Linked DNA regions of Arabidopsis thaliana. The protein of the gene in region 1 interacts with the protein of each later gene in a biochemical or structural test. Each region holds a gene or a part of one and is shown in the gene's direction. Other genes may lie near its edges. The genes, in order: AT1G09200, AUR1, EDM2 and GTE3.

Region 1 (6,029 bases):
TGACCAGCTCACCCATGTGTACACATTTATCCTCCGCCCAGATGCTACTTACAGCATTCTCATCGACAATGTTGAGAAACAAACTGGTAGCCTTTACTCTGACTGGGATCTTCTCCCACCCAAGAAGATCAAGGACCCCAGCGCCAAGAAGGTATTCTATTTCTTATGAACAACCAGGCTAAACTGAGAACCAACCACTTATACTCAATTTTGGAGCAAACTAGAACTAACCACAAACCATACCAAAGCTCTCTGATGAACTTGGTTGATTATACCTGAGATACCATCCATCATACAAATTGATCCTTTTATTTATTTGTACAGCCTGAGGACTGGGACGAACAAGAATACATTTCTGACCCTGAAGACAAGAAACCTGACGGTTACGATGATATCCCTAAGGAGATCCCAGACACCGACTCAAAGAAGGTTCATACTTGTCTATAATTGATGTAAAATCTAAAATCTCTTGCTGTGTTCCGTATTTGCTGATTTTTCGTTGTCCTTTCTCTTAGCCTGAGGACTGGGATGATGAAGAAGATGGTGAGTGGACTGCCCCAACAATCCCCAACCCTGAGTACATGGGTGAATGGAAGCCTAAGGTTTGTCAATTTCTATTCCAAAAAGTATCTATATCCTGGTCAACGTTTTTCTTCCTCTCAAGGCTGTCAAATATTTTTGTAGCAAATCAAGAACCCCAACTACAAGGGCAAGTGGGAGGCTCCATTGATTGACAACCCTGGTACATTACTACTCTCTGTGGCCATATTATCCATGTTGCATGTAATTTGTGGTTCAACTTCTGTTCTTTGTTGTTTGATGGTCGTTTCTGGTATGCCTAAATCTTCTCCAGTTAGATTTCTCTTGACTAAGTAGAAGGACTATCTAAGTCTAAGGCCTAAGGGTTCATTTAAACTCAAATGCTGAAGTAATCCTTTACTTCCAAAAGGTTTATTGGCGTCTCTATGTTTAGTGGTTTAACCTATTAAATAGAAACATGTTTGTAACTAACCTGGTTTTTCTTTTATCTTCTCTATCATTAAATCCATGGTCACACCAGTTTGACACATTTAGTAATCTATATCTTTTGTTCACCTTTATTTACACTTTTATATCATGTTCATTTGGATGTAACTGTAGAACTCGCAACTTTTTGTTTTTTATGCTTGCATTAACTTACATGAAAATTTAGCTCTCTTAGACATAATAATAAACAATTAGTGTGCCTAAAATAAACTGATTACCGCAGACTTCAAGGATGACCCAGAGCTCTACGTCTTCCCCAAGCTGAAATATGTTGGACTCGAATTGTGGCAGGTAAATAAATCTTTGTCACTTTGAATGACCTTCGAAGATATGCTTTATTCCCATGACTCTCATCTAATACATGTTACTCTTCCAGGTGAAATCAGGATCATTGTTCGACAATGTCTTGATCTGCGATGACCCAGACTATGCCAAGAAGTTGGCAGATGAAACATGGGGAAAGCTCAAGGATGTAGGTGTTTAAAATACCCAATTTCATAACACAGTTTTTTTTTTTTTGTTTCTGGTTACTGATCAGAATATCCAATCTAATATCACATTGCAGGCGGAGAAAGCAGCTTTCGATGAGGCTGAGAAGAAGAATGAGGAAGAGGTAAATATCTCTCCTAATTATTTAGCTTAATTCATTTGAATCTCTCTAAAACAAGTAGTTTGGACTTTTGTGGAGTTTCTACTGCCAATTATGTAATTGTTGTAACCAAGTTGGGAATAGATAATCTAAGACGGCATTCTCCTTTTTCTGTGTTGATACAGGAATCCAAGGACGCACCTGCGGAATCTGATGTAAGCACTTGTGAAGGATCAAATTTTTTAGAGTCTTGTTTGTTTCTGTCAAGGTCCTAATATTATATGTGATATAAATTCCAGGCTGAAGACGAACCAGAGGATGATGAAGGAGGAGATGATTCCGATTCTGAATCTAAGGCCGAGGAGACCAAATCAGTAGATAGCGAGGAAACCTCTGAGAAAGACGCCACCGCTCATGTATGCTACCACAATATCACTTGGAGAAATTTCACTCATCCATAATTTTGTTGTTTTCCTTGAGTTGTGGTTAAAACTGCGTGATTTGGTTTTGCAGGATGAGCTATAGGTGAAAGGTTGAAGATTTGAAGACCAAAGTTTTCAGTCTCTTTATTGTTTTATCGTTTTCTTTTGAAGTATTTTAGCATCTAGTTTGTCGGAGATAGAAACAAGTTTTAGCAAAACTAAAAGGGGGATACAATGTCTGTCAGATGCTCATTTTAGACTTTAAAAAACCATGAAGAAGTTTTGCAGTTGCTTCTCTTTCTCTACTCTTGTTTCTCTGCTAAGCCAATGTCCGCCAAAATCGGATTCTGGTGTATTCGTTCACTGCTCCCCACCCTTTGAGAATTTGTTGTTAGTCTCTTGTCAGTCAATACAGACCACCAAGTCCATAATCCAACAGTCCAACGTCCCTGCAAGTTGATTGATACTAGAGTAGTAGTAATGTAGAATGTCTTTCACTTTCCAAACAATTTCCACATTGTCTATACACTTATACTGGGTTCACTTCCATTGTGAAGACAGATGTTGAGATAACAAAAATTATATAGAGATAATTGTACCCCAACCACAGATGCTTAGAACGCTAGAGAACGAATGCAGTGCAATCTTTGTTTTACCTTAACCTTAGACAGCAATATTTTAATTCATGATGTCATTCTCAAAAGATGAAGTCACAATCTTTATACAAAACAGCGTCCTAGCATATTGAGATGGTATTTAAGCCCAGAAAAAGCTGATTGAGAACCAAAAAAAGAAAAACAATTACGCAGGCCCTATTAAGTAATGGGCTTGGTTTTTTGGTAAAGATAATATATTTAGATTATTTCTTTTATTTCTATTGGTCTTCGTACCTTCACGCGGATCAGTGTTAGAAAAGAATGAAATCTGTCCGTAGAATTGTATTAATCTACGGTTGCTGTGATTTCACGCGGATCGTGATAGAAACCTCTTATATCCGTTGATTAAAAACCAATGAACGATCCAGATCTAATCCCGCTGAAAAAGAAAAGCGAAATATTTTCCCTCCCACTTCTTGTAATTTCCAGACGATAAATATCCCCTTCCTCAATCGAAACAAACTATCCAGATCTCAACTTTCTCTCATCTTCAAATTAAAATCAAACAGTTTCTTAATAACATTTTACTTCATGGCTCGTACCAAGCAGACGGCTAGGAAATCAACCGGAGGAAAGGCTCCAAGGAAGCAGCTGGCGACAAAAGCGGCGAGGAAATCTGCTCCGGCCACCGGAGGAGTGAAGAAGCCACACAGATTCAGACCCGGAACTGTTGCTTTAAGAGAAATCAGGAAGTACCAGAAGAGCACTGAGCTTCTTATCCGTAAACTCCCTTTCCAGAGGCTTGTCAGAGAGATCGCTCAGGACTTCAAAACCGATCTTCGTTTCCAGAGCAGTGCCGTCGCCGCTCTTCAGGAAGCTGCTGAAGCTTACCTCGTCGGACTCTTCGAAGACACCAATCTCTGCGCCATTCACGCCAAGAGGGTCACGATCATGCCCAAGGACATCCAGCTCGCGAGAAGAATCAGAGGAGAACGAGCTTAGATCTAAGTATTCTGGTTACTCTTGTGTTTTGATTAGAACCATAAGATTGTAAAATTTCAAGTTAAATCCAAGGGTTATAATATTAATTCCAAGCAATTATCTTTTGTTCTATCAAAGTATTGACTTTTTAGTTGACTTTATTAATCACTAATTGTTTGGTTAATTTGTGCTAGTTCACAACTCATTATAGTCTCACAAATTAATCAGCTTTGACGCTGAAATTGTTGTGAAGATCATTGTTAATTAGTTGTGATTCGATCGAAGATGAACTCCAATCTGCTATCGAATCCTATATCATCGGAGGTCTTCACCTCCATTGATTTGGGAACAAATTCTTTCAAGCTTCTAATAGTCCAAGCTGAGCCTTCCGGTAGATCTTTCGTTCCAATCGAGAGACTCAAAGAGCCAGTGGTGTTGTCTCGTGAATCTCCAACCTCAATTTCGTCTCAATCTCAGGCTCGCGCGCTTCAATCTCTACGGAAATTCAAAAGTTTAATTCTCTCGCACCACGTCTCTGGTGATAGGATCCGATGCGTTGCAACGGAAGCCTTACGGCGAGCCGAGAATCAGGAAGAGTTCGTGGATGCGGTTTTTGAGGATGTTGGGCTTAAGGTCGATGTGCTTTCTGGTGAAGAGGAAGCCAGGTTAGTTTATTTAGGCGTGCTTCAGTTTTTACCTGTGTTTGAGAAATCAGTGTTGTGTGTTGATATTGGAGGTGGTTCTACTGAATTTGTGGTTGGTAAGTGTGGTGATGTCAAGCTTGCTGTTTCTTTAAAGCTAGGTCACGTGAATTTGACGCAGATGTTTATGAAAAATGGTATTGGATTGAAGGAAATGAGAGACTATATTCGTCATGCGATTGATGAGTCTAGGTTAGCAGAAAAATTGAATGAATCAGATGGTTTTGAGGTTGTTGTGGGATCTTCTGGAACTATACGAGCTATTGAGAATGCAGTTTTCAGTGGCTATGGAGCTGATTTGTGTGATTTCAATTTGGAAGGGTATAAGAGGGACTGGAGATTTGGTACAAGAGAGCTGAGCAGCGTTGTAGCAAAGCTATGCAGTGAAGGAGACGAAGAGCTGATTCGAAGGGAGGGATTTTTCAAGAGAAGATCAGAGTTCATTGTTGCTGGGGCTGTATTGTTGGAGGAAATATTCAAGGCTCTTGGCATAGAGGACATGGAGGTCTCAGAGTATGCATTGGCAGAGGGTGTGATTGCTGATTCTCTGGCCAAAGCTTTTGATGGATCATATGATTTAAATGCTAATGCAAGATGGCGATCGGTCATGAGGCTTGCCACGCGTTTCAGTGGTAAAAAGCGAATGACTCATGCGATACACTGTGCCAAGATTGCAAAGGTACATTCCTTTTCACGAGCAACTTAATTGTGAAATATTGGTTGGCAGATATTCATAAAGATTGTAGCTTTTTGTCATACCTTTTAAATATGCATTCCTCTGGTCATATATATATCTCTTTTGTGTGTGTGCGCTAGTGCCTAATGGTTTCAAATTTCATTTTAAGCTTTGCACAACTGGATATGGTCATTTTGTTTCAGTAGGTTTGATAGTACAGTGATTTTCCAGGAGATCTATCTAGGTTTGAGGAAGTGCAATGATTTTAAGGTTATCTTAGACGATAAAGATCTTGAGTATCTCGAAGCTGCTTGTTTCTTGCACAATATCGGAATCATCACAGGGAAAAAGGGTTATCATAAGCAATCTTATCATATCATCAAGGTTAGTTCATCTAACGCTGTCAAACATACCATTCAATAAGCACAGCTCTTTATAATCTGGAAAAGTAACTCACAAAAGCTTATCACCAAGAGTACTCTATGTTTCTACTAGAAAATTTTTGTAGGTTTTCAGTATTTGTTTTGTCCACATTGTTATTAATAGTTTCTTCTTTCGTAGAATGGGGATCATCTCCACAGCTACACTGCTGAGGAAATCGAGGTAGGGTACTTAATCCTCTATAAGGAGGAACTTGTCTTCAATTTACATTTTTTTTTTTACTGCTGTGGAATTTACTGTTTTTCTGATTACTATCATATTATTTTCAGCTTATAGCTATGCTTGTGAGATACCAAAGAAAAAAGTTTCCCAAGCTTGATCGTGCACCTCTTAAGGGCTTCACTGGGGAGGTAGTGTGTCATATATCAGCTTAGCAAACCAGGATCAATTTGTTGATGTGGTTGTTTTGATTCTATGTTTTCTGTTGCAGGCAAAGCGAAAATTCATAATTTTGTGTTTGATTACACGATTATCAGTTACACTTCAACGGAATGAGAATATGGATCTCCAAGAAGTTGAATTTATTGAATCTTCCGAGATCTTCAAACTCGTAAGTACATCTTTTAATCATTCTACTTCCTACACTGAGCAAACCCA
Region 2 (7,314 bases), on another chromosome or scaffold:
CAAAATTAGAAACGACGGCGTGTTCAGAAATTGGATCAGATTCTTCATTGCAGAAAGAACCAGCAGACTCTCTGTCAAAACCCCTTTTAAGGACAAATTTCTCAAGATATTGAAGGATGTCACTGCTAGGATCCTTACTGTTATCAAATTCTAACCCTTCCTTCTCAGGTTTCTGGTTCCGAAGCCGTTCAAGACGAGTACTCCGCCTCTCTTGGGGGTGTTCTTCAGAAAACACAGGCTCTTTTTCTTTTACAGAACCACCACTTTCTCTCTCGATGTTGCAATCCTTAACAGACACATTACTTGAATCTGAATCCACACAATGATCCTTCTTTTTCATACCTTGCATAACAGCCTCTGTACTAAGGGATAATTCAATGGTTATCGGTATATCAGCTGATATGCCCACAGTTTCACGCGAAGGATGCACTATCCCAATTAGAATATTTAGCAGTGCCACCCATGAAGCTTCAGGAAGTTTAAATTGCACTCTTTTTCTTAACTTCTTGGAGGTAGCATCCATGTCCTGATTCATGTCAGACACCTTTCTTTTGCCAAGAAATTTGAGCCGAACGTGCTGAGGTTCAAGTTTATCTATACCCTTGGGAGCAAAAGGAGCTGAATCTGTGTCTTCAATACAATGTTTAACATGCAAAGCACGAGAATGTGATGGCCAATGCCTTAAAATCAGATTTGCAACTGAAAGACAGGAAACTTCATCACCTACGGCAATGAGAACTTCTAGAAGTTTCTCCATGCAGTTCCCTGCACATTAGCCAATTCAATTTTCAAGAGGGAGGGAAGGGTAAATGCAATAGTCCATACCACATATGAGTAATGTGAACCCAAAAACAGAGAGAGAAAGAGGAGAACAGTGCGTACAGTTATTGGGGCTGCAGAGAAGTCCCTGTTCAAATGCCCATCGTGAAATACTCAGTAATCCCATAGAACATGATAGGGTTCCAAGATGGTTCCAGAGCACAGAATCTTTTGCATCTAAGTCTATAGCTTGAAGATAACAGTTTAGAGCATTCTCGTAGTGACTTGAACCAAGCTCAAGAAAGACAGTGGCAAGATTCTTCAGAGCCAAAAATCTGCAAACAGAAATTATTTATAGGCGAGACCACAGCACTAATGAACTAAAAATATATGAACTAGACAAAATCAATTAGTAGACATGTAACCAATAACTAGATGAATTAAAACGATGGAGCTTGACCTGAGATGATGGAGATGATTGTCGTTTGCAATAGTCTCCACCTGGACATAATGTCAATAAGAAGGTCATTCATCATCCAAAGAAATCATCAGAGTAAGTGAAGAAGATGATTTTACTTTGGAGTTGGTTATAATAGGATCTTTAAGGATAGATTCTAGCAGCTCCCGAGCCTTGTCATAGTCTTTAGCTTGCAGCTTGAGAAGACCATCATGATATGTTTGTGACAGATGAAACTCCTGAAGAGGGCAATTTAAAAAAAAAAACAGTTCAATATATTTTTCAACAATGAGCTAATCTAACTTCTTTATACCAAATTGAGAAGAAAGAAGCCCTGAATCAGAAGAAAACCTGAGCTTCTTTGCTAGGAGCTAAAGGTTCCCACTTCTCTGTGGACTCCGTATCATTGATCGCTGCAATCGAAAACTGAAAAAAAAAAAAGCGAAACAAATGCAAAAAAAATCAAAAACTAACCGATTAAAAGGGGGATCAAAATTAAATCTTTGCCCGAAATTATCATTACCATCTTGATACTCGAAGCTGGTAATGGTTGGGGTTTTCGAGTTCTTGGCGCGAAATTGGTCAATCTTCTTCTTCTTCTAACTAGGGTTGATGATGCACGTTAAACACATTACTAGAGTTTTAGATTTCACAGAATTCTTTTCTTTGTTTGGTCTGTTCGTCCTCTACTGTGTTTTTCTTTTGTTTTGGCTATTTTGCCGTCTGTTAAAAAATTGGGGTTTTCCGATAATGTATTGTATATGCCTGAATTATGGAAATATCACTAAAAACACTTTTTTGCACTTTTGTATATATTGCAATTAAGATTTAATTTTTCTATTTTGAAGACTTTTTGTTAAAAGAGAGATTTGCTAACTCAAAATTACCGGAGTTAATAAGTTCGTTCTCATCAGATTAGCAAAACATTCATCTTTAAAGAAATCTGTTTATCTCACGTAAAATTCTACTAATTGGCAGCAGCACACTACTTTAATGGGCCTATTACTATTTCAATATGCACTGAAAACTTCATTGGACTGTCCAATAACATTATAACATTATTAAAACTAAACTACATTTGTATTTGGGTTACAATTTTATAAAGAGTAAGACTCAAGATACTAATTGGGCTGCAGACAACTTTAAAAGCCTTACTACAAAAATCAAAACCATTCTTAATTAACTAACAACCAGGTAAAAATCTCAGTACAATATTTACACTAAAAATAGGTGCCACCCACTATGCAAAAGTTTAGGGCCACGAACAAAAAAACCTGTAAATTGTTATGTCTTCACAATATGTGTTTTAATACACATGAATTTTAGCTACGGTTAATGTAAATTTTGTAGTTAAATTAAGGCTAAACAATCTCAAATATAAATTGGTCAGGTCCACAGACAACAGCCTGGCAAGTGGCAAGCACTAAAAATTCGACCGTTATTTTTTGCCCCTTTTTTTAATATTTCGAAATTGTATCTTTTAGTTTTATTTTAAAGCTTTTTAGCCCGCTCCTCCTCCGCTCCACCTTTAATTTTTTCACCAATTGGATTTGGATCTGTCAAAAATATTGGCCTCTTTCTCTCTTTCTCTCTTGCTCTCTTTCTTTGTTGGGTTGATCTCTTCTTCCATGGCGATCCCTACGGAGACACAACACCAGGAGAAGGTACTCTTTCACCATTCCATGATTCCTTCGTGTCGTTTTTAGCCAAATCTTTTTTCCGTTTCTTTCGATTTTTCTTTGTTCTTCCTTTTCTTTTGCACGATTTTAGGGTTTGAAACTTTTGTGAATTTGAACAATCGATTTATGTTTGGAATAGAAAGAGAATCAATTAGGGCAGATGTTCAAAAATTGCTCAATTTCAAAGCAGATTCGTTTCTAGCGATGATCTGAAAATTGGTTTTTATCAGGAGGCTTCAGATGCTTCTGCAGCAGCTGCACAAAAGAGATGGACTTTAAGCGATTTCGACATCGGTAAGCCTCTTGGCAGAGGCAAATTCGGTCACGTCTATCTCGCCAGAGAAAAACGGGTCAGTATATAACAATCTATCATCTTCCACCATCTTTCAAATTTTTGTTGTTAAAATCCAAACTTAAGAAGCATTTGTTTTAGATCCTTGATTGTTTTTCCTTCCACCAATCTCACACATACATGCAAAATGTGAAACAGAGCAATCACGTTGTCGCTCTAAAGGTTCTTTTCAAGAGCCAGCTTCAACAATCCCAAGTTGAACATCAGCTCAGAAGAGAAGTTGAGATTCAGTCTCATCTTCGTCACCCCAACATACTCCGGCTTTATGGCTATTTCTATGATCAAGTAACTTTTCATTTTTCTCCTTTTTTATTCACAGATAATTGTTATCCAATCTACTCTTGAGCATGATTAAGTTCTTCATTTGTTGCAGAAAAGAGTTTATTTGATACTTGAGTATGCTGCTAGAGGCGAACTTTACAAGGATCTTCAGAAATGCAAATACTTCAGCGAAAGACGAGCTGCTACTGTTAGTCATTCCTTCCACATTTTGACCTCTCAAACTGATTTCTTGTATGAAAACTGATATCCTTTCTATGTTCATTGTGCCAGTATGTTGCCTCATTGGCGAGGGCTCTCATCTATTGCCATGGCAAGCATGTGATACACAGAGATATTAAACCAGAGAATCTGCTAATTGGTGCTCAGGTGATGATATAAGCTTTACCTTTTCCTTTACATCTATCCATTTGATTATGAAACTAGCTAATATTATTATTCATGGATCCTTAACTATTCAGGGTGAGCTCAAGATTGCAGACTTTGGTTGGTCGGTACACACATTTAACCGAAGAAGGACCATGTGTGGCACACTAGATTACCTTCCTCCTGAGATGGGTAAAGTTGAAGGCTTGCTAAAAAGTTAGTTCTGGTGGGATCTAAATTCTTTTTAACAGTGACCTTTTGGATTGTTTTACAGTCGAAAGCGTAGAACATGATGCTAGTGTAGATATCTGGAGCCTTGGGATTCTCTGTTACGAGTTTCTTTATGGTGTACCTCCTTTTGAAGCCATGGAGCACTCAGACACATACAGAAGGTAAACAGCATTTGAAATCTACAATTATAGTCTGTTTCTTGTGGGGTTTGTTTGATGATATTTGTTACCACCAATGATCTATATCAGGATTGTGCAAGTGGATCTCAAGTTCCCTCCCAAACCAATAATCTCTGCATCTGCAAAGGATCTTATTAGCCAGGTTATATTCTATACCTTCAATCTAACAGATACACTTTGATGCAAGTGCTAGTTATTGAATCTGAAGTCTCACATATTTTCTCAATTGTATGTATAGATGCTTGTCAAGGAGTCTTCGCAACGTCTGCCATTGCACAAGCTTCTGGAGCATCCGTGGATCGTGCAAAACGCTGATCCTTCTGGAATCTACAGAGTTTAAAAACAAAACGCTTACTGTTCTCGCCAATCTCGACCAAAACTGTTATCTAGAAACCCAAAACTGTATTCTTTCTTACTATTATTTTTCGCTAATTCATGTTCCAAATAATGTGTATTATGTAGTATGTACTAATACTATATGGCATTAACGGAAGAAGGAAACTCTATAAAGAGTTGTTAGCTGAAAAATGTTTCTAATTTCACCTATGACGATGAGAACTTCTAGAAGTTTCTCCATGCAGTTCCCTGCACATTAGCCAATTCAAGTTTCAAGAGGGAGGGAAGGATAAATGCAACAGTCCATACCACATATGAGTAATGTGAACCCAAAGACGGTGAGTTTGATGAAATGGTTTGCCTATTTGAAGGGTTATTTACAACCCGCGTGTTTATCCGTTTCCAGAGGCAAGATAATGACGATTTTTTACAAAACAATGTCAATGGCATTACTCTGTAACTTTTTACAAAACAATGTCAGATTTTGTTATAAACTTCTAAATTAATAGTAGGGATTAGTGCAGAATAGTAGAGATGAACTTCTCAGGCTTGGATAAGAGGTTACCAGAGACGAAGAAGATAACAAGACAGAATATCATTAATGGTGATGCAAAAAAAATCAAATGACGGAATGTAATTTTGCCAAAAAATTTTTGCTATTAGTCGGTAAACTCCGTGGTTCCTTTAGGAGGGTTCATGAAGCTGGGCTGGTTTGTAGATGACAACATTCGCGCCCACATTCTATCTGTAATCACAACTTTGTTCTGTCTTTCGGTTATTCGCTGCGCAGAGAAAAGGAAAGAAACAAAAAAAGGATTAAAGCTCGATGATCCAATGGCAAGGACATATACTTAGGCGAAGAGAAACTTACGTTAAAGGGAATGTAGGTGTGCCTTCCATTAACAAGACCAGAGACAAAGCCGGTATAGCCAGCCATTGCACCATGGACTGCGCTTTGGGCAAGGAGAGTTGAGTAGACGTTGTCAGATGCATTGGCTGGAATAGCTCGGATCATGTATGTCGGATCTGAAACATGGTTTGAGTCATATTTCTAATTCATGAATCTATGTAGCTCGACTTGAATTTGGGGAGGACAAACGTACCAATGTATTTAAGAGTAATGTCCATTACATTGTGCTTCGCAAAGTATTCCTGTAACAAGAGCCAGAGAAGGAAACAACTGTAATAAACCCACATAAATATCTTGTCTTTTAGGTGAAAATATGGGACTGAATCTCGTTGGCAATAATTTACCTTGATTTTAAGACTCATCCATAGTCCTACATCTTTAAGGAGCTTGTTTCCTGAAGCATCTTGTTGTTCAATGCTCTCTGCAACAAGATCCTGTCCTGCTCCTTCAGCAATCACTATAACCATGTGGCCATTTTCTCTGAGACGTTTTGCAATGAACTCATAGAGCCCTCCTTTGCCTTCAAGGTAAAAGGGTGACTCGGGAATCAGACAGCAGTCAACATCTCGGCTAGCCAGAGTAGCATACATTGCAATGAACCCTGCAGTGTAGAAGCTGTAAGATTAGATAAAAGCGTAGGGAGTAACATCATAAAGAAGATACTTCTGTGGTCTAATATTTGTATGCATTACTGCTCTCCTAGATTCTTCTGTGAACTTACCACTGTACCGACCCATTAGCTTGACAATTCCAATGCCGTTTTCCACACTGGTCGCTTCAACATGCGCTGCATTAATAGCACGTTGAGCCTCCTCAACCGCAGTATCAAATCCAAAGGACTTGTCAATGACCTAGATCAGAGATACTATCATCAAATTGAGCTTCTTGCGAACTAACCAGAATAGGAGAGGAGGTTAAGGTTGAGAGTGCAGACTACAATAATGATAATCTAGGACTTACTGGGATGTCGTTGTCAATGGTTTTTGGTATTCCTGCAACTGCAACTTTAAGTCCACGGCGCCTAATTTCCTGCAGCATCAGTCAAAAAAAATTTGCTTCACAAGATTAAAGTGCTTGTGACGTTTGCACACACAGAAATATCACGGTTTTACCCAGTCCATAAATTAAGAAAACTATTTTATGTCTTCAAGCAAATAAACGTTCATTTTCATAAGAGCAGAATGTCTTCACAGGAATTTAATTAGACAGTTCTCTTCAAAATATGTTTTAGATAGGTATATCCAACAATAATACACAACATTTCACTAACCTTATATATTGCATTTGCTCCCTTTTGGGTTCCATCACCTCCAATAATGTAAACCTATATCACAGATGCAGCAGACAAAGCAACTGACTCTTATTGGTATAACTATTCTCCATAGAACACAAACAAACTGAAACAACAAAACAAAATTTTTCTTGAATACCTGATTTATTTCACGATCTTGTATGTTGTCGACAATCTTTGATGTATCATGTCCCCCTCGGGAGGTTCCTAGTATGGTTCCCCCGCGCTTGTGGATGTCACTCACAGTCTTCGGCGTTAGTGCAACAGTGTTTTTAGAATAGAACCCGCGAAACCCGCACTGCGATATCAGAAACCAGATGAGTCAAAACAAATCCTACTCAATCAATAATGGCTAACATAGTATTTGCTTTCCATTGTAATTTGCTATTAAAACTGACATTGCTCTATTATGCTCTACTACAATATGCAATAGCAGCTATAGAACAAAGCATTCAGTCTACAAGTTGGGATACAA
Region 3 (10,768 bases), on another chromosome or scaffold:
AGGGTACTTAACCCATGGGAGAGAAATGAGAATCACACGCTCTGTCTTAACTCTGCAAAAGCTGTTGGCTGCAGTGTGGTTAATATCGGGACTCAGGACCTGGCTGAAGGACGAGTATGTTATACTTGCTTAGTTTTCACTTTTCAGTATATCATAATATATTGGTTGAGACGAATATAGAAGATTCTGACTGCAGATGTTTCATTGTTTTTGCAGCCTCATCTGGTGCTTGGATTGATCTCACAACTCATAAAGGTCCATACTTGTTTGCTATGTGCACTGTCTTGTGTTTGTGCTTGATGATTTACTAACCAATGCTGGAAACTGCAGATTCAACTGCTTGCCGATCTTAGTTTAAAGAAGATGCCTCAGCTTGTTGAGTTGGTGGAGGACAACGAGGTAACGATCTGCTAATCTATTTGTGAATATCTGACCAAACTATAAGCATGTCGTAGATATTAATAACAAGTTTCTGTCTGTTGCAGGATATAGAAGAATTTCTGAGATTACCCCCAGAGAAAGTCTTGCTCAAATGGATGAACTTCCATCTCAAGAAAGGTGGTTACAAAAAAACTGTTGGAAATTTTTCATCGGATCTGAAGGTATTTCCAAATAGCAAATCTTCTTTTTTGTCCCTTCAAAAGCTTCATCAAGTAGTTTTCTCCAACACGCTGACGCAATATCAGTTTGAATAGAAAAAACAACAGATCACTCATTAGTTATGAAAATGTTTGGTATTTTTTCTTAATGTTGATGGTTGAGATTGTTGACTATGCAGGACGCACAGGCCTATGCTTACCTGCTTAATGTTCTCGCACCAGAGCATTGTGATCCAGCAACTCTAAATGCAGAGGATGATCTTGAAAGGGCTAACATGGTCCTCGAACACGCAGAGAGAATGAACTGCAAACGGTATTTGACTGCAGAGGAGATAGTTGAGGGGTCTTCGTATTTGAATCTAGCATTTGTGGCACAGATATTTCATGAAAGGTCGGTAAAAGATCACTAAAGATAGAATATTTTCTTATGTACTGGTTTCTTACACACTAGCTTCTCTGTACCTGCTGCAGGAATGGCCTTAGCACTGATGGTAGATTCTCCTTTGCGGAGATGATGACTGAGGATTTACAGACTTGCAGAGACGAAAGATGTTACCGGCTATGGATTAACAGCCTCGGGATTGAGAGTTACGTCAATAATGTGTTTGAAGATGTTAGAAACGGGTAAGCATTTGGTATGCAAAATAATTTATAATCTTTTGGTCCTGAAACGTATTATAAGTTTTTCAATACTGAATATTTCTGATGCAGATGGATTCTTCTGGAAGTTGTTGATAAGGTCTATCCAGGCTCAGTTAACTGGAAGCAGGCTTCAAAACCACCAATTAAGATGCCGTTTAGAAAAGTAGAGAATTGCAATCAAGTCGTGAAGATTGGGAAAGAGATGAGATTCTCGCTCGTAAATGTAGCTGGAAATGACATTGTTCAAGGAAATAAAAAGCTTATCCTCGGTAATTACTCTTCTTAGCTAGCTAAAAAATGTTTATTTTGTTAAGATGCTCAACAGTCTTAGAAATTGTATAACACTAAAGGTGTGTATACATGTCTCAGGCTTCTTATGGCAGTTGATGAGAACACATATGCTCCAACTTCTCAAGAGTCTAAGATCTCGGACACGAGGAAAAGACATGACCGACTCAGAAATCATAAGCTGGGCTAACAGGAAAGTCAGAATCATGGGGCGGAAATCGCAGATCGAAAGCTTCAAGGTTCCATCTTTTACTTTTATCAAAACTCAAAAAAAAAAAGTTCAACTGAACAAGCTTATGTTGAACAAAATCTGTCTTGCTAAACTTCAATAGGATAAAAGTCTATCGAGCGGATTATTCTTCCTCGATCTTCTATGGGCGGTTGAGCCAAGAGTTGTTAACTGGAATCTTGTCACCAAGGGTGAATCAGGTCCTTACTCTCTCTAACTACACTCACAACCTCTTCACTCTCTTTCTCTTCTCTGTTCAAACTGAATTTGTTTAATCGTTATTTTTTCGCTATGGAAACTTTGTAACAGACGATGAGAAGAGATTGAATGCTACATACATTGTCAGCGTAGCAAGAAAGCTTGGTTGCTCGGTTTTCTTGTTGCCAGAAGATATCGTGGAGGTAAAGAACGGAATCAAATCTTCCGAAACAAGAAAACAACATACATCAAAATGTAAATCTGATGTTTTTAAATGTCTTTTGTTGCAGGTGAATCAAAAGATGATACTAATCCTAACGGCAAGTATAATGTATTGGAGCCTTCAACAACAATCATCATCGTCAGAGAGTTCAAGTTCGAGTTCAGACTCATCATCAACTCATAGCACGACGACGACATGCACTAGCACATGCACGAGCACTGATGCTTCACCAGCTCCATCTGTCACGGGTGAAGACGAAGTCTCTTCTTTAAATGGCGAAGTCTCAAGCCTAACGATAGAAGAAGACAATGAAGTCTCGAGCCTAACGATAGAAGAAGACAATGACGCAGACATTTTGTCAGATATCACCTCCATCTCAGAGGAAGCAGCTAACGAATAGAGCAACAAGACTGAACTATCTTTGCCGGAACAGAGTTGCTTTGTAATATTTTTTCACATCACCTCTGTTTGTGTTACTACTACTAAATAAAAACTATATTTGTTACCACAATAACAATAAAGATAAAAAGATAAAAATATTTTATGGAGTAAACATTAAAATGTCATTGTTTTTTATCTTCATAAAATAATGTCATTTAAAATTATAACTGTGCTGAAAAGGAATGATTTGCATTCGTTTTGTCGGCTAAAACACAAAAAAGAGATATTTAAGAATACCTCAAATGATTTATATTTATCGACTTATTGTTTTTGTTGTTTGGTGTTGCTTGCTCTTCTCTCTCTCTCTCTGCTGATGCCTGGCTCGAGCGTCGAACCAGTCACACGTTGCACTTTGCAGTGCCATCGCAGACCAAACGTGCTACAAGAGCCAGGCGCATGCTTTCTTGCATGACTTGTTATTTAAACGTACCTGCTTCGAATAATAGTTATCCAATAAAAACCCTAAATAGAGAAATCTATACGAAATATTAATTAAGGAGAGGGATATAATATTCTCGGTCTTATTCGTATTTTATGCTGAAGATTTGTAGAACGAAATTTAAGGGAACTAAAAAAAACGAATTATGTTAAGAATTTGTCATATTTAAAAAAAAAACAAAAACACAATCTCAGCGGCGTTGCTTGCACACGTGCGCGAGTATATAAACTTGGAAAAAAATAATGACGACGACGATTCTTACTCTTTTTTTTTCCTCAATTCTTACTCTCTTTTGATTCAATTGCGTCATAGTATAATCTCCATCAACACACAGAGACGATAATTCTCATAGGTTTTTATCACTTCTCTTCTTCTACTTCGTAATCAATTCATTCGCTTACTTCTTCAATTCCGTTTTCTCAATTTCTCAATTTTTGGATGTACCAATCTTTGAAGGACTTTAAATGTCCAGGCTATTCGTCTTCTTCATTGTCCAATTCATGTTCATTGTGTCTCCTAAAACGAAACCCTAATTCGAGTTTTGAATTTCTATTTCTTTTAGGGTTTAGGAGAAAGTTGTGTCCCGTTTGATCGTTTGTGTTTTGAAACGTCTCTAGGGTTAAGGGAATTTTGGGATTGAATGACGTTCGTTGACGATGATGAAGAGGAAGACTTCTCTGTTCCTCAATCAGCTTCCAATTATTATTTCGAAGATGATGATAAAGAGCCTGTTTCGTTTGCTCGTCTCCCAATTCAATGGAGCGTGGAGGAGAAAGTTGATGGTAGTGGTTTAGGTTTTTACTTGCGAGGAAGATCTGATAACGGCCTTTTGCCTCTGCATAAGCTTGTTAAGGCTTGGAGATACGATCTTTCGAACTTCCAGCCTGAGATTTCTGTTCTTACGAAGGATAATATATGGATTAAGCTTGAGGAACCGAGGAAAAGCTATGGGGAATTGATTAGAACTGTTTTGGTCACGTTGCATTCCATTCAGTTTCTTAGGAGGAATCCCCAAGCGTCCGAGAAAGCTCTCTGGGAGAAATTAACTAGAAGTTTGAGGTGATTGATTTGTGCTTTTCAGGTCTTTTGTTCTTCTCTCTGGGAGTTTTCATTCTTTTGGTTTTTAACTTTAGTGATTGGATGTTGTTTCTAGGTCATATGATGTGAAGCCATCGCAGAATGATTTGGTGGATCATATTGGTTTAATCGCTGAAGCTGCGAAAAGAGATAGAAATTTGGCGAATTCGAAGGTTTGTATGGAGAATTTTCAGAGTTTCTGGTCTTTGGGATTTTTGAATTAGAAGAGTCCATTAAATCTCTTATAGGTGTTGTAGCTTTTGTTTCCTGAGAGCTTGTGATGCCCATATTTGTTATCAAGAGTTTAGCTCGCTTTCTGGCCTGAATGTTTTCTGTATATGTATCATTTTCTTACCCTGATTCTCTCCTAATTTTGTGCTGTTTTTCTTTCTTGTGTTACTAGTTTATACTTGCATTTCTCACAAAAAAGCCTACCAAAAGGAGATTACCTGACGAGGTTCGAATCTTTTTTCCCACTTGAGTACTCTTTCCTAATGTGCCGTTTCCCTTTTTTTCCCTTACTTTCACACGGTCTTAGTTTCTGATACGAACTTGTTATTACTTATTAGGACAATGCAAAAGATGATTTCATAGTTGGAGATGAGGACACTTATGTAGCTTCCGATGAAGATGAATTGGATGATGAAGACGATGATTTTTTTGAGTCTGTTTGTGCAATATGTGACAATGGTGGCGAGATTTTGTGGTATGTTTCCTTGCTGGATATTGATCTTGTAGTTTGATTATCTCTGATAATTAGTCTTACACCTTTTACTTTCTTTATTAGAATAAGGCCTTGATTATTTGTGTGCGTTTATGCCAGCGTTTGCTTTTACATTTAGTGTGAATTTTCTCAAATAGTCTACAACCTTTAGCGTCTTGAACAATTTCCTTTGCTAATTTGAAACTCAAGCGTACCTTCTGTTTGCGTTTGGCATTTGCAAAAATATTTTATGAAACACTGAAAATGTTTTAATACTGTGAAACATGCAAACGCAAATTCAGCGTTTGAGGCAATTGAGGCCTTCAAAGGTTCTAAAGATACACTGTTATTATTCCAGATGCATAAGTCTTGTGTTCTGCTTTCTGCAGTTGTGAAGGAAGCTGCCTGAGATCATTTCATGCTACCAAAAAAGATGGTGAAGATTCACTTTGTGATTCTCTTGGCTTTAACAAGATGCAAGTGGAAGTATGTAACATATATGATTCTTTCATTAGTTCTGAATATGTCTGGGCGTCTTGGTTTTCTTGAGTAGGCATGGAGTCTATGTTAATGCTGTTTATGGATTGTTTTCCAGGCAATTCAGAAATACTTTTGCCCAAACTGTGAGCATAAGATACATCAATGCTTCATTTGCAAGAACCTTGGCTCTTCTGATAACTCTTCTGGAGCAGCAGAGGTATGCAATTATTGATCTCTAATGTTGAATGCTGTTCAGACATGTTTTGTTGATAATGGTGACTGACAAGTAATTGGTTGAGCTTTGTGTTTTAAACATGTTCATAGGTTTTCCAATGCGTGTCAGCCACCTGTGGCTACTTTTACCATCCTCACTGTGTCACAAGACGGCTACGTTTAGGAAATAAAGAAGAGTCTGAAGCACTAGAAAGACAAATCATTGCTGGAGAGTATACATGCCCATTGCACAAATGCAGTGTCTGTGAAAACGGAGAGGTTAAGACAGACTCTAATTTGCAATTTGCTGTTTGCCGGCGTTGTCCAAAGTCCTACCATAGAAAATGCCTACCGCGGTATACCTTCATTCATTCATCATTCATTTTCTATTGCTATTTCAGAACTCTATTTGAATAACTGTCTTGTTGGTTTCTAGGGAAATTTCTTTTGAAGATATTGAGGACGAGGATATATTAACTAGGGCATGGGACGGACTCTTGCACAACCGTGTACTCATATATTGCCAGTAAGATTCATATATGGTGTATTTTGAATTTATAATTATTTACCTTGAGACACTTATTTTGAATGAGATACCTTGCCTAGAGAACATGAGATAGATGAAGAACTTCTGACACCAGTTAGAGACCATGTTAAGTTTCCTTTCACGGAAGAGCAGAAGGTCTTCGTGAAAGAGCAAAGAAGGATACTGGAATCACATGTGGGACGAGATAAAGCAAGACTTAAGGTTAAGGATCCTGCCTTACAAGATACTTGTGGAAAAGCTTCTAAGAATTCCTTTAGAAGTTCGTTTCCTTCTTCAAAAGATGGTTTCTCCACAAAGAAGCATGGATTAGTTTCATCCGTACCAGATCATTCGAGGAAACGTAAGGATATTGATCCATCCATAAAGCATAAAATGGTTCCACAAAAATCCCAGAAGATGATGGAAGACTCCCGTGAAGCTGGCAAAAACAAGCTGGGAGTAAAAGAAGCCCGTGATGCTGGTAAAAGCAAGATTTCACTGGGTGAGAGGTTGTTTAGTTATACCCAGGAACCTAATCCAGTAAAACCTGGGCGCGTGATTCCTGTTGATAGCAAGCACAATAAGACTGACTCAATTGCCTCCAAGGAGCCAGGAAGTGAAATTCCTACATTAGACAACGACTCTCAAAGGAGGTTTGTATTTTTGTTGTTTGGGGCCTATTAGTAAATTTCTTCCATTGTAATCTACTTTTGTCAATAGGCTCTTGGCAGTGATGAAAAAAGCTACGGAAGAAATAACTATGGGTACTATTTTAAAGAAATTCAAAATTCAATCTACTATGAGTACACACTCCACAAGGAATGTTGTGGACAAGACAATCACTATGGGGAAGGTAGAGGGATCAGTCCAGGTGGGCTAAAAATCTGAACCCGATCCCTATCTGGCCTCTCTTAACCCTCTAGTTATGAATTTAAAATTTTGGTTCTTCAGGCTATCAGAACAGCACTAAAAAAGCTTGAGGAAGGAGGAAACATTGAGGATGCAAAAGCAGTTTGTGAGCCAGAGGTTCTGAGCCAAATCCTCAAGTGGAAGGTCCTAGCTTAGCTTTTTCGACATCCTTTTTATTTATCTTTGTTTGTAACTAGTAATTTTTGCTAATCCTGTAGATGTTTATTTCTTTTGCTTCAGGATAAGCTCAAAGTTTATCTTGCTCCTTTTCTCCATGGTGCACGCTATACCTCATTTGGTCGTCATTTTACTAATCCTGAAAAACTTCAACAGGTAATCTATCCTCTTAAAAGCATAAACAAGATTTAGGTCTAAGCATCCTGTATGTTACAAGGATTTTCGGTTCACACTTAGTCAATTAGTGAGAAAGAAAAAAATTCAAGGAGAGATGACTCTTAAAATGTAGGATGTTATGTCTTTCCAATTAGCTTACTTAATCTGTCTTCTGTGAGGATTATTATGCTGTTGGTTTACACTTTCTGTCACCTGCGTGACTAGTGACTATCACCTGCTGTTTACACACTCTTGTCAAATTTTAACTCCTGTATCTGAAGCTTGTACCTGACCAGACCTATTATTACTTTTTGTGCAGATTGTTGATAGGCTGCATTGGTATGCAGATGATGGTGATATGGTGAGATTTGCTCACAAACGTTATCTGTTGGGTTTAATTTTATTATTTTGTTTACCTCTCTTAAGTTTTTTTCTTATATTCTGAAGTATGATCTTGTTAGTATAATGATCAATGTCTTGTGCATAAACAATGATGTCTGGTTTCTGGGATCTCTTCCAACAGATTGTCGACTTCTGTTGTGGTTCTAATGACTTTAGCTGTCTGATGAACGCGAAGCTTGAAGAAACGGGGAAGAAGTGCTTATATAAAAATTACGATCTTTTTCCAGCGAAGGTAATGACTTGTGTGTGTGTGCCTACTATTGTCGTAAGTTGTAAAGTCTTATCACTGATACGGAAGCAACATATGTTAGATCGTGGTGTGTTCTATTCATCAGTCTTCTAGGATTACTCATTGATTAGCTATCTTACTTTCAGAATAATTTCAATTTTGAGAGAAAGGATTGGATGACTGTAAGTAAAGATGAGTTGGAACCAGGTTCAAAGCTGGTAAGACACAAATTTCCTTTAGTATGAACTTTGTGTAAGCTCCAGTGTCATTGAAATAGTTTGAGTAGTATCTGACTGTTTATATTTTTGGAATTATGAGTAGATTATGGGGCTAAATCCACCATTTGGAGTCAATGCTTCTCTTGCAAACAAGTTTATTACCAAGGCTCTTGAGTTCCGCCCAAAGATTCTCATTCTCATTGTTCCTCCCGAGACTGAAAGGTTTCAGTTTCCATCTATCTCATCTGCTCCTCTGTACCATTCCATAACACTAATATATCGACTCCTCTCTCTCTCTCTTGTTAAATCTATCACTTTTCTCAACAGGTTAGATAAAAAGAAGTCATCATATGTGCTTATATGGGAGGATAAGACGTTCCTATCTGGAAATGTAAATCTTTCGCTTTTCTTTTGATTTTGCTTTTTGAGAGATTGAGCCTTTATTGAGTTTCAGTTACATGTTATGCTTCTTGCCTATTCCTTTCAGTCATTTTACCTGCCTGGTTCTGTCAATGAAGAAGACAAGCAATTGGAAGACTGGAACCTTGTTCCTCCGCCACTTTCTCTCTGGAGTCGGTCCGACTTTGCAGCCAAGCACAAGAAAATAGCGGAGAAGCATTGCCATTTGTCTAGGGATGTGGGGAGCTCAAAGTTAAAGATAGTGGAAGAAGAAGCAAACGCATCTTTGCATCCACTTGGAGCTTCTGATGGCATGTGTGATGATATTCCTATGGAAAAGGATGAACTTGAGGTAGCTGAATGCGTTAATAAAATCTTAGTCTCTGAGAAAATCGACACAGTAGAAACTGTAGCACGTGTACATCAGTCAGATCACTTGTCACGGAGAAGTCAGCTGAAAAAGGAGGGAAAGACCAAAGACTACTCTGGTAGGAAGCTTGGGAAATCTATGGATTCTAATAATGTGGATTGGAAGAGCAATGACATGGAAGAGGATCAAGGAGAGTTGAGTAGAGCACCAGAGAGCATCAAAGTAAAAATTCCCGAAATGACATCTGATTGGCAGAGTCCTGTTAGGTCTTCCCCAGATGATATATATGCTGTCTGCACATCAATTTCCACTACAACACCTCAAAGATCTCACGAGGCTGTAGAAGCATCTCTGCCTGCAATAACAAGGACAAAAAGTAACTTGGGAAAGAATATTAGAGAACATGGTTGTAAAGTGCAGGGCACTGGAAAACCTGAAGTGAGTCGGGATAGGCCTAGCTCTGTGAGAACTTCTAGAGAGGACATCTACACTGTTCGTCCATCGCCAGAAAATACGGGTCAGAAACCGTTTGAAGCTTTTGAACCATCTTATGGTGCAAGTTTGTCCCATTTCGACGATGGTCTTGCTGCTAAGTATGGTGGTTTCGGTGGAGGCTATAGAATGCCGGATCCTCCTTTCCTACCGGATCAGTTTCCATTGAGAAATGGTCCTAACGAGATGTTTGATTTCCGAGGATATTCAGACCTTGATAGAGGGATTGGTCAAAGAGAATATCCACAGCAGTACGGTGGGCACTTGGACCCCATGTTAGCTCCTCCTCCTCCTCCAAATCTGATGGACAATGCATTCCCATTGCAACAACGTTATGCGCCTCATTTCGATCAAATGAATTACCAGAGGATGAGCTCTTTCCCACCTCAGCCTCCATTGCAACCTAGCGGACATAATCTCTTAAATCCTCATGACTTTCCACTGCCACCGCCACCACCTAGTGACTTCGAAATGAGTCCAAGGGGTTTTGCCCCTGGCCCGAACCCGAACTACCCTTATATGAGTCGATCTGGCGGTTGGATTAATGACTAGATCAGCACTCATTATCCTTGTAGTTGCAACATTAGTAGTTTGATTGATCTTTTGTGTCTCACTCTACGAAAGTGTAGGAAGAATAGAAGAAATCTATAACTTTTCTCTGCCACTCACATGTGTAGCTAGTGGGCCTTTTAGCTGTTTAATAATATAAAAGAAAAAGAAGCCAGCTTCTATTGTCTTAAACTTTTGAGTCATATTTTGTGGTAATTCTTTAATACAGGACCACGTCAAACTCTGCTGCTTCCACAGAATTAGCAAACGACAGATCTGAGAAATGGAAGAAAAGTTTAGAAACTTAATCGAGGTATGGATCTCTGCTTTAATCTCTCTATCTTACTGTTATTACATATCGTCTAAACTCTCCAAAGGTGTTCTTCGTCTCCTCTCTATTCTTCCAGTCTGCATTCTGTTTCTTGTTCTTCCTCTGTTCCTCTCTTGTGTGCACTTTTGCGCCATTTCAGTTCTTTTTCTTTCATGGCTTGCAAACTTTAAGCTTCTTCTATTTGCCTTTGATGAGGGACCTTTGTTCCCACTTCCTCCAAAACTCTCCCGTTTCATCTGCTTCGCTTGTTTACCCATCAAAATCAGACAAGACCCTTCTCCAAATGCGATACCAAATCTTCATCCTAAACCTATGCCTAAATGGGTTTTGGCTGTTAAAATTTTGGTCTTGGGCGTCTTGTTACATGTTTATGAATACAGGGATGGTTTGCCTCGGTTTGTTGTCTTGGCTCTCTATTGTCTCCATATTTACCTTGAGGTAGAACTTGTCTTGGTCTTTGTTGGAGCCGTGGTATCTA
Region 4 (7,214 bases), about 25 Mb from region 1:
ATCTACGTTTGATAATGAAATCATTCGCATTATTCTAAAAAGGTTTTCATACTTCGTATAGGTTTTTCTGCTTACCACACTCATACACACAGATGTATATAAATATTGATAGCTTACTTTGATATATATTTATATCATGAAACGTTGACAAAAGGAATATGTATGCTGATCTCGAATGAGCACTTTGGAGAAGTTTAAATCTCGTCAATTATAAATCTCCTTCCACGACCGCCTTAGTTTTTTTTTTCTCTTTGCCTTATCTATTTTATAATGTATAGCCAGCCAATAAGTTATCATTTCAATGAGATTCATCATGATCCCAATGCCATTCTCTATATAAATTGTCGCAACCATGTGATGAAAAAACACAACAACCCATCTATACCATTTTTCTAGCTAAAATTAAACTAACACCTTTCTAAATTGAAACCATTGTCACATAACACATGGCTAACTTGAAATTCTTGCTGTGCTTGTTCTTGATCTGCGTTTCCTTATCGCGTTCATCAGCGTCTCGACCGATGTTCCCAAACGCAGACGGGATTAAACGAGGGCGTATGATGATAGAAGCAGAGGAAGTGTTGAAAGCGAGTATGGAGAAGCTAATGGAGAGAGGTTTTAATGAGTCCATGAGACTCAGTCCTGGAGGTCCCGATCCTCGCCATCACTAAGTCTTATTCTCGTAGTTTTGAATTCGAGGATGTATATTTTGTTCTTGATCGAGAACCGGTTTAGAAGAAAACATATCGATCCTCTTTGTTTGTTTTTTTTGCCTTGTTTGTTCGTTCGGTGTAACCAATATATTGATGTATCTGTTTCGTTACACATTTATGATTTGTGCATGCTTTACGTACCTTATACATTCCACTATATAGTAGTCTAGTAGAGAGGAGGACTTTGCATATAAATTGTTATATAACAAGAAAGGGTAAAGAAATATAGTATGATAAGGGAGGATTGAATTAATTTAATTTATCCTGTTTTTTCAGTCTCTAATGGCTCGTGTAGAAAAGTATATATTATATATGGACTCTTTTGCCTCATCGTCCACCAATGAAATATCACATAAAGAGAGAACGATAGTGATTGAAGTTTTTCAAAAAGAAAAAAAAAACAGGGGAAAACAGAGAGAATTATACTTTTTAAGAGCGAAGCAACGTCTTCAAATCTTCAATTTTTCAGAGATCAAACCCTTGAAATGCTGCTCTTTACGAAACTCATTTTCCAAAATCTCTTTTTCATCACTTTCGTTACAAATTCACAAAAAGTTACAAGTCGTGACAAGCTTGAGCTTAAGTATGTGTATGAATAGTGTGACCAAATTGTTTTGCAAGAGATCAAGTAACTTGTTACAAAAGAAATGATTCAACGTAACTTACAAAACTATACCAATTTACCAAATCAGTTATCTGTGGAAAGAGGGTACCTACAGTACCTCTCATTTTTCATACACATAAAGAATCTCTCATAAGCCGAAGCCATTTGAGTCGCTGTAAACATCGAAAGAGCGTATCCCTTACAAGCTATTCCTTTCATCTCCAAAACCCTAGGCCCATCTCTTACAACAGAATCCAAAGTCTCAACAAGAGATCTCACGTTTGGAGAAAATGTGTACCCAAAACGCTCGTCCACAACCACTGTCCCAACAATGCTTGGATAATTAGGTGCCACGACAGGTTTCCCACACTGCATCGCCTCAATGATCGTCAAATCAAGCCCCTGTGGTCTCAACGTCGGATTCACAAACACATCTAAAGCGTTGTAGAAACCAGAGAGCTCCTCTGGCTCTAAAGCTCCTAAAACCCTAACGTTTTCGCCTAATTCCGCGTATCTTTTGCCCCAAGGACCAGATCCAGCCACAAGCAAATAGACTTTCGGGTGCATTTTAACGAGCAAAGCAAACGCTTCATATAGAAGTGGATGTCCTTTGTCTCTCACCAAACGTCCAGACACACCCATCACAATATATGTCCCATTGTCAGGAATACCGTGTTTCGCCCTGAACCTAGCTCCAGATTCAGGAGAATACACGAACTTGGTTTGGTCAACACCGTTGACTATAACGTGAACTTTTCTCTTAGGAAGTTGATAGATGTTAACTAGTACCTCGCGCGCGCTGTTGCTAATGCAAATATGCTGTTTATATTTTGGGAAGAATCTGATTTCATCGACGAGTCTAGGCATCGTTTGTTGAAGATCAGAGCTAGGACGATCATTGGAAAGTTCTTGAAAAAGATTTGAATGCATAATCTCGTACCAGATTCCGTGCCATGTCACAGCTATGTCACCATTAGGCACCATTTTGACTCGCCAATGAGGCAGAGAAACACTCTCAGTGTGAACATAATCAAAGGAATGATGATCTAGACTGTTGATTTTATGGAAGATCTCAAAAGCTCGAGAGTGGTTAAGTGAGCCGTGTTCGTTTGGAGCAAAGTAGACATGGAGATCTCCTTTGTTGTAGTACTCTTCTCGGTTACTTCTGTCGGAAGAAACCGTGAAGACGTGAATCTCGTGACCTCTTGAGGCGAGAGAAGTGTAGAGTGTGTAAGCATGACGCTCCATTCCTCCGGGGATCGAACCAACAGGCCATGACTTGCAGAAGACAGCGAGTTTGAGCTTCTCCGAGATTGGTCCAAGTGAGAGTTTGTTCCAAGGGAATGTCAGGTCTCGAAGATCTCCTGCGAAAGGAGGATTTTCCGGTGAAGAAGTCACCGGAGAGTAATCAAACTGTGAGAAGAAAATGTAGTAAGAAGAACAAAAGATGAATGCTAAGGTAATGATTGTTGTGAATCTGAATGAAAATGAAGTGGAAGAAGAAGAAGAAAGAGTTGTTCTTGAAGAATGGTTCTTGAAGGCCATTGTTTTGGTTTATTTGATTTTTGTGAATTGAGTGCAACTATTGATGTTGATTCTTTGCTTAAATTTCGGATCTTTCTCGAGTTATTATATCAAAGTTCATTTCTCAATGACATTGCACATGGCTTAGCTAATTTTTATATGGTTTTTACATTCAATTGAAAGTCAAATCTCTCTTAACCAACTGAGATTTGTAACTAAACCGGGATATCACACCTAATTAGTTTTCCCGGTTTGATATTTTGTTTTGTACACGTAGGCGTGTGATTACTCCGTCACACTTTACACATGTGTAATTCCCCTAATTTATCGGGTTTCTTTAGGCGCGTGAGATAATGCGCGTGTGTCTACGCTATTCTTGCGACGCTGTGCTTCCTAGGGTTTCGTCGTTGCAAACACAGTCAATGTTCATGAACCACGGATCCTAATCTCCCCGATCTTCGATTCATTGTTTCAGAAATCCCCAATTACTGTCTCTGTGCGTAAAATCTCTAGAGAAACCTTAAAATTTTCCGTTCAGAGAAATTGTCAACGAAGGTAATGGCGTCTGGTCCTATAGCTGGTGGTGGAGTTTCGAAGACGAAGCATAAATGGAGTGATAGTGGCAACAAAAGCCAAAAACGATCCAAGCCCACGGTGGCGAATTCGAATTCGCTTGGGTTGGAAGATAATCATCAGATGATGAAGATAAGTTTAAGCTCAATTTCCAAGCTTGAAGTTAGGAACTTGAAGCGGAAACTACAAGCTGAGCTTGAGGAAGTTAGGAGCTTGATCAAACGGCTCGAACCACAAGGTAACAACTTCGCTCCCGTGCCGAACAAGAAGCTGAAAACAGCAAACGGTGGTAAGAAAGGTGGAGTACATGGAGCTGCTGCTGATAAAGGTACTGTTCAGATTTTGAAGAGCTGCAACAATTTGCTTACCAAGTTAATGAAGCATAAGTCTGGATGGATTTTCAATACTCCAGTTGATGTAGTTACGCTTGGTTTACATGATTATCACAATATTATTAAGGAGCCTATGGATTTAGGAACAGTGAAGACTAGGTTGAGTAAGAGTTTGTATAAGTCACCTTTGGAGTTTGCTGAGGATGTCAGACTTACTTTTAACAATGCAATGCTGTATAATCCTGTGGGGCATGATGTGTATCATATGGCTGAGATTTTGTTGAATCTGTTTGAAGAGAAATGGGTGCCTCTTGAAACGCAGTATGAGTTACTTATTAGGAAGCAACAACCAGTCCGTGATATCGATTTCCATGCTCCTGTTTCGACAAACACTCATAATGTAGAGGCGTTACCGTTACCCGCTCCTACACCTTCCCTGTCTCCTCCTCCTCCTCCTAAAGTAGTTGAAAATAGGACTTTGGAGAGAGCTGAATCTATGACAAACCCAGTGAAACCTGCAGTTTTACCTGTTGTCCCCGAGAAGCTTGTAGAAGAGGCGTCTGCAAACAGGGACTTGACGTTTGATGAGAAGCGGCAACTAAGTGAAGACCTCCAGGATTTACCTTATGACAAGCTAGAGGCAGTTGTGCAGATTATAAAGAAGAGAACTCCAGAACTCTCTCAACAAGATGATGAGATTGAGTTAGATATTGATAGTCTTGATCTGGAAACACTTTGGGAGCTTTTCAGATTCGTGACTGAATATAAGGAGAGCTTAAGCAAGAAAAAGGAGGAACAGGGATTAGACTCAGAAAGAGATGCTGAATCTTTTCACAATAGTGTGCACGAATCGGTGAGAGCAAATACCTAATTGTTATTCACTTCTCTTACTTTTACCATATAACTCTTACTGGGCTAATGATATCATATTTCTTCTTCCGTCTTCACAGAACACGCTAGTAACTGGCCTTGAATCGTCAAAAGTTACTGAATTAGGTGAAATTTTAATTCTTAAGATAGTATCAAGCTCTTCTATATTGGTCGTTTAGCCCCACTACAATAACTCTTCTTTAATGTTTTTGACACTTGAAAAGGTCATGTGGCATCTACTGTTCGACAAGAAGTAAATGTTGGAGGATCAAGTAGTTCTAACAGTTCTAGTAGTGGCTCAGGCTCGGGTTCTAGTGGTAAATGTTGAAGCTGGTTTACCTTCTTCTCCCTTATGAGCATCACAGTTCCAAACAAGTTTACTCACATTCCTCTTTTCGTTATGCAGGCTCTGACAGTGATAGCTCAGGACATGAATCTGATACCGGTAATTAACCACGATTGTGAAAGTATTTAGCATAGGTGGGAGCCATCGTGGTGTCAACTTCCAACTTTTTTTTTTTTTTTTGCATCTCTTAAAATAGCAAAGCTAGGTTACCTTCTTTTCCACCATCGGATTGTTTCTGTATTACTGTATTAGGGTTCTTGTTAATTGTATAGAAAAGTGGACATAAGTCTTTTGTTTCGGGCTTGTGTCATCAATTGAACAGGCTTGTTCTGTACTTCTTAGTTGGTTTTTTTTTGTTTGGTCTTACGTTCAAATTTGTGCATTGATTTTCGACCAGTCTTGCTGGGCCAGATCGGAGAATAGTTTGACCTCAAAACCCAAGCGAGACCTTTATTGGCAAATTTGTGTTGTTTTCAGTATCATATCACTATTTTTAGATCAATCACCAAAACAAAGGACATGCTACCTAATGTAGAAAGATCACCAACTGGTGGTTGCATGGAACAAAGTCGTTTTTTTATGCTTGTATGTGAAGACATACGCTTCTCTCAAACATCCAACATAGATTCATCAGCTCAATAGCAAGAAGTAGTTCTAAACGAGCTAATTACTCCGAGAAGTCTGTTTCAAATGTCTATACAAACAACTGCAGATTCGAGGATGATTCAATCCATCTTCCAAGTTGTGCTTGTTAGTCTTCTAGTTCTAGGATCCGTGAGATGGATACTTGATGAACTCAAGAGCAAAGAAAGTCGAATATCCAAACTATATGGTTTCAGACAGAAAGAGGCAGTGTTTGTCACTAAAGAGGATCAGCTTGATGAGAGCTGCAATGTCTTTGAAGGACAATGGGTTTGGGACAATGTCTCTTATCCTCTTTATACAGAGAAGAGCTGTCCTTATTTAGTCAAACAAACAACATGTCAACGAAATGGACGGCCTGATTCTTATTACCAGAACTGGAGATGGAAACCGAGCTCATGCGACTTGCCAAGGTAAGAAACAAAAAGCATGTGTTGTTTCATGATCTCAGATTCAAACTTGCGCAGTGTTTAAAACCTCTGAGATGTTTCAGGTTCAATGCTCTGAAACTGTTGGACGTGTTGAGAAACAAAAGACTAATGTTCATAGGAGACTCAGTGCAGAGAAGCACGTTCGAGTCAATGGTCTGTATGGTGCAATCAGTAATTCCTGAGAAGAAGAAGTCCTTCCATAGGATTCCTCCTATGAAGATCTTCAAAGCTGAGGTACATCAAAACTCATCTTCCTAGAAGAGATTTTCAACATGAATTGTAAGAAAAAAGGCTAATATGGTTTCTTATACTAAAGTTTATGCAATTGATCAGGAATACAATGCATCCATCGAGTATTACTGGGCACCTTTCATCGTGGAATCGATTTCAGATCATGCAACTAATCATACAGTACACAAAAGGTTGGTTAAGCTCGACGCCATTGAAAAACATAGCAAGAGCTGGGAAGGGGTTGATGTTCTAGTCTTTGAGAGCTATGTATGGTGGATGCATCAACCTAAGATCAATGCAACGTAAGCTATATAACGCATAAGCCATATTCGAGTTGCTTGCATTACAGAAGAGCTTAGAAGGAAAACTTATACGCATATGCAGGTATGGAGATACCAGTGAAGTCCGAGAGTATAATGTGACGACTGCTTATAAAATGGCGTTAGAAACATGGGCCAAGTGGTTTAAGACGAAGATCAATTCCGAGAAGCAAAAAGTTTTCTTCACGAGTATGTCTCCGACTCATCTATGGTATGTTCCTTCCAAACACAAAACATAAAAGATTATAGATAGTTTTTAGAGCAAACCTTTTCAATTTCCAAAGACATGGAGAGTGATTTTGGTGTGTGATCTTGGAAGGAGCTGGGAGTGGAATCCAGGGAGCGATGGAACCTGTTATGATGAGTTATATCCAATAGACAAAAGATCATATTGGGGTACAGGATCAAATCAAGAAATCATGAAGATTGTTGGTGATGTTCTAAGCAGAGTTGGAGAAAATGTCACGTTCCTGAACATTACGCAACTGTCGGAATACAGGAAAGATGGACATACGACTGTGTATGGAGAACGGAGAGGGAAGCTCTTGACAAAGGAACAGAGAGCTGATCCGAAAAACTATGGAGATTGCATCCACTGGTGTTTGCCAGGAGTTCCTGATACATGGAA

What was found.
Region 2: of the proteins of AT1G09200 (region 1) and AUR1, one has a biochemical effect on the other in vitro, tested with the Arabidopsis thaliana proteins (one study listed by BioGRID).
Region 3: the proteins of AT1G09200 (region 1) and EDM2 form a complex in vitro, tested with the Arabidopsis thaliana proteins (one study listed by BioGRID).
Region 4: the proteins of AT1G09200 (region 1) and GTE3 interact in a test that uses a peptide from one of them, tested with the Arabidopsis thaliana proteins (one study listed by BioGRID).

What each region holds. Positions count from the first base shown.
Region 1 is NC_003070.9:2,969,328-2,975,356, reverse strand, and holds AT1G09200 (Histone superfamily protein), read left to right. Parts: upstream 1-3,022; 5' UTR 3,023-3,224; coding exon 3,225-3,635; 3' UTR 3,636-3,786; downstream 3,787-6,029. Other genes in the region: CRT1b (calreticulin 1b), read left to right, coding at 1-151, 325-429, 516-602, 685-742, 1,250-1,317, 1,403-1,498, 1,592-1,639, 1,801-1,830 and 2 more; AT1G09195 (Ppx-GppA phosphatase), read left to right, coding at 3,900-4,994, 5,223-5,375, 5,553-5,594, 5,702-5,782, 5,863-5,982. UniProt on the Arabidopsis thaliana protein: Core component of nucleosome. Nucleosomes wrap and compact DNA into chromatin, limiting DNA accessibility to the cellular machineries which require DNA as a template.
Region 2 is NC_003075.7:15,839,713-15,847,026, forward strand, and holds AUR1 (ataurora1), read left to right. Parts: upstream 1-2,730; 5' UTR 2,731-2,844; coding exon 2,845-2,880; intron 2,881-3,125; coding exon 3,126-3,245; intron 3,246-3,385; coding exon 3,386-3,532; intron 3,533-3,620; coding exon 3,621-3,716; intron 3,717-3,799; coding exon 3,800-3,895; intron 3,896-3,987; coding exon 3,988-4,084; intron 4,085-4,166; coding exon 4,167-4,284; intron 4,285-4,371; coding exon 4,372-4,444; intron 4,445-4,540; coding exon 4,541-4,642; 3' UTR 4,643-5,153; downstream 5,154-7,314. Other genes in the region: AT4G32820 (Tetratricopeptide repeat (TPR)-like superfamily protein), read right to left, coding at 1-765, 883-1,094, 1,220-1,260, 1,336-1,455, 1,568-1,642, 1,740-1,742; PFK6 (phosphofructokinase 6), read right to left, coding at 5,298-5,420, 5,510-5,664, 5,742-5,790, 5,893-6,149, 6,270-6,399, 6,509-6,577, 6,819-6,872, 6,979-7,137. UniProt on the Arabidopsis thaliana protein: Phosphorylates specifically 'Ser-10' of histone H3 in vitro and colocalizes with phosphorylated histone H3 during mitosis. Associates with cytoskeletal structures that are necessary for cytokinesis and with the microtubule spindle.
Region 3 is NC_003076.8:22,447,346-22,458,113, reverse strand, and holds EDM2 (ENHANCED DOWNY MILDEW 2), read left to right. Parts: upstream 1-3,308; 5' UTR 3,309-3,699; coding exon 3,700-4,118; intron 4,119-4,212; coding exon 4,213-4,309; intron 4,310-4,539; coding exon 4,540-4,593; intron 4,594-4,705; coding exon 4,706-4,842; intron 4,843-5,228; coding exon 5,229-5,325; intron 5,326-5,434; coding exon 5,435-5,536; intron 5,537-5,643; coding exon 5,644-5,888; intron 5,889-5,968; coding exon 5,969-6,058; intron 6,059-6,138; coding exon 6,139-6,711; intron 6,712-6,778; coding exon 6,779-6,929; intron 6,930-7,009; coding exon 7,010-7,111; intron 7,112-7,207; coding exon 7,208-7,300; intron 7,301-7,619; coding exon 7,620-7,661; intron 7,662-7,823; coding exon 7,824-7,934; intron 7,935-8,077; coding exon 8,078-8,149; intron 8,150-8,252; coding exon 8,253-8,371; intron 8,372-8,476; coding exon 8,477-8,540; intron 8,541-8,636; coding exon 8,637-9,962; 3' UTR 9,963-10,177; downstream 10,178-10,768. Other genes in the region: AT5G55400 (Actin binding Calponin homology (CH) domain-containing protein), read left to right, coding at 1-114, 217-255, 331-399, 486-602, 779-990, 1,071-1,223, 1,311-1,510, 1,611-1,768 and 3 more; AT5G55380 (MBOAT (membrane bound O-acyl transferase) family protein), read left to right, coding at 10,243-10,768. UniProt on the Arabidopsis thaliana protein: Cellular antisilencing factor and regulator of genome DNA methylation patterns involved in the regulation of chromatin states.
Region 4 is NC_003070.9:27,502,182-27,509,395, reverse strand, and holds GTE3 (global transcription factor group E3), read left to right. Parts: upstream 1-2,989; 5' UTR 2,990-3,399; coding exon 3,400-4,599; intron 4,600-4,696; coding exon 4,697-4,742; coding exon of another isoform or gene 4,743-4,795; exon of another isoform or gene 4,796-4,840; coding exon 4,841-4,933; intron 4,934-5,022; coding exon 5,023-5,069; 3' UTR 5,070-5,423; downstream 5,424-7,214. Other genes in the region: CLE1 (CLAVATA3/ESR-RELATED 1), read left to right, coding at 447-671; AT1G73160 (UDP-Glycosyltransferase superfamily protein), read right to left, coding at 1,402-2,862; TBL31 (trichome birefringence-like protein (DUF828)), read left to right, coding at 5,653-6,017, 6,098-6,269, 6,369-6,568, 6,651-6,797, 6,906-7,214. UniProt on the Arabidopsis thaliana protein: Probable transcription factor that binds to acetylated histone H3.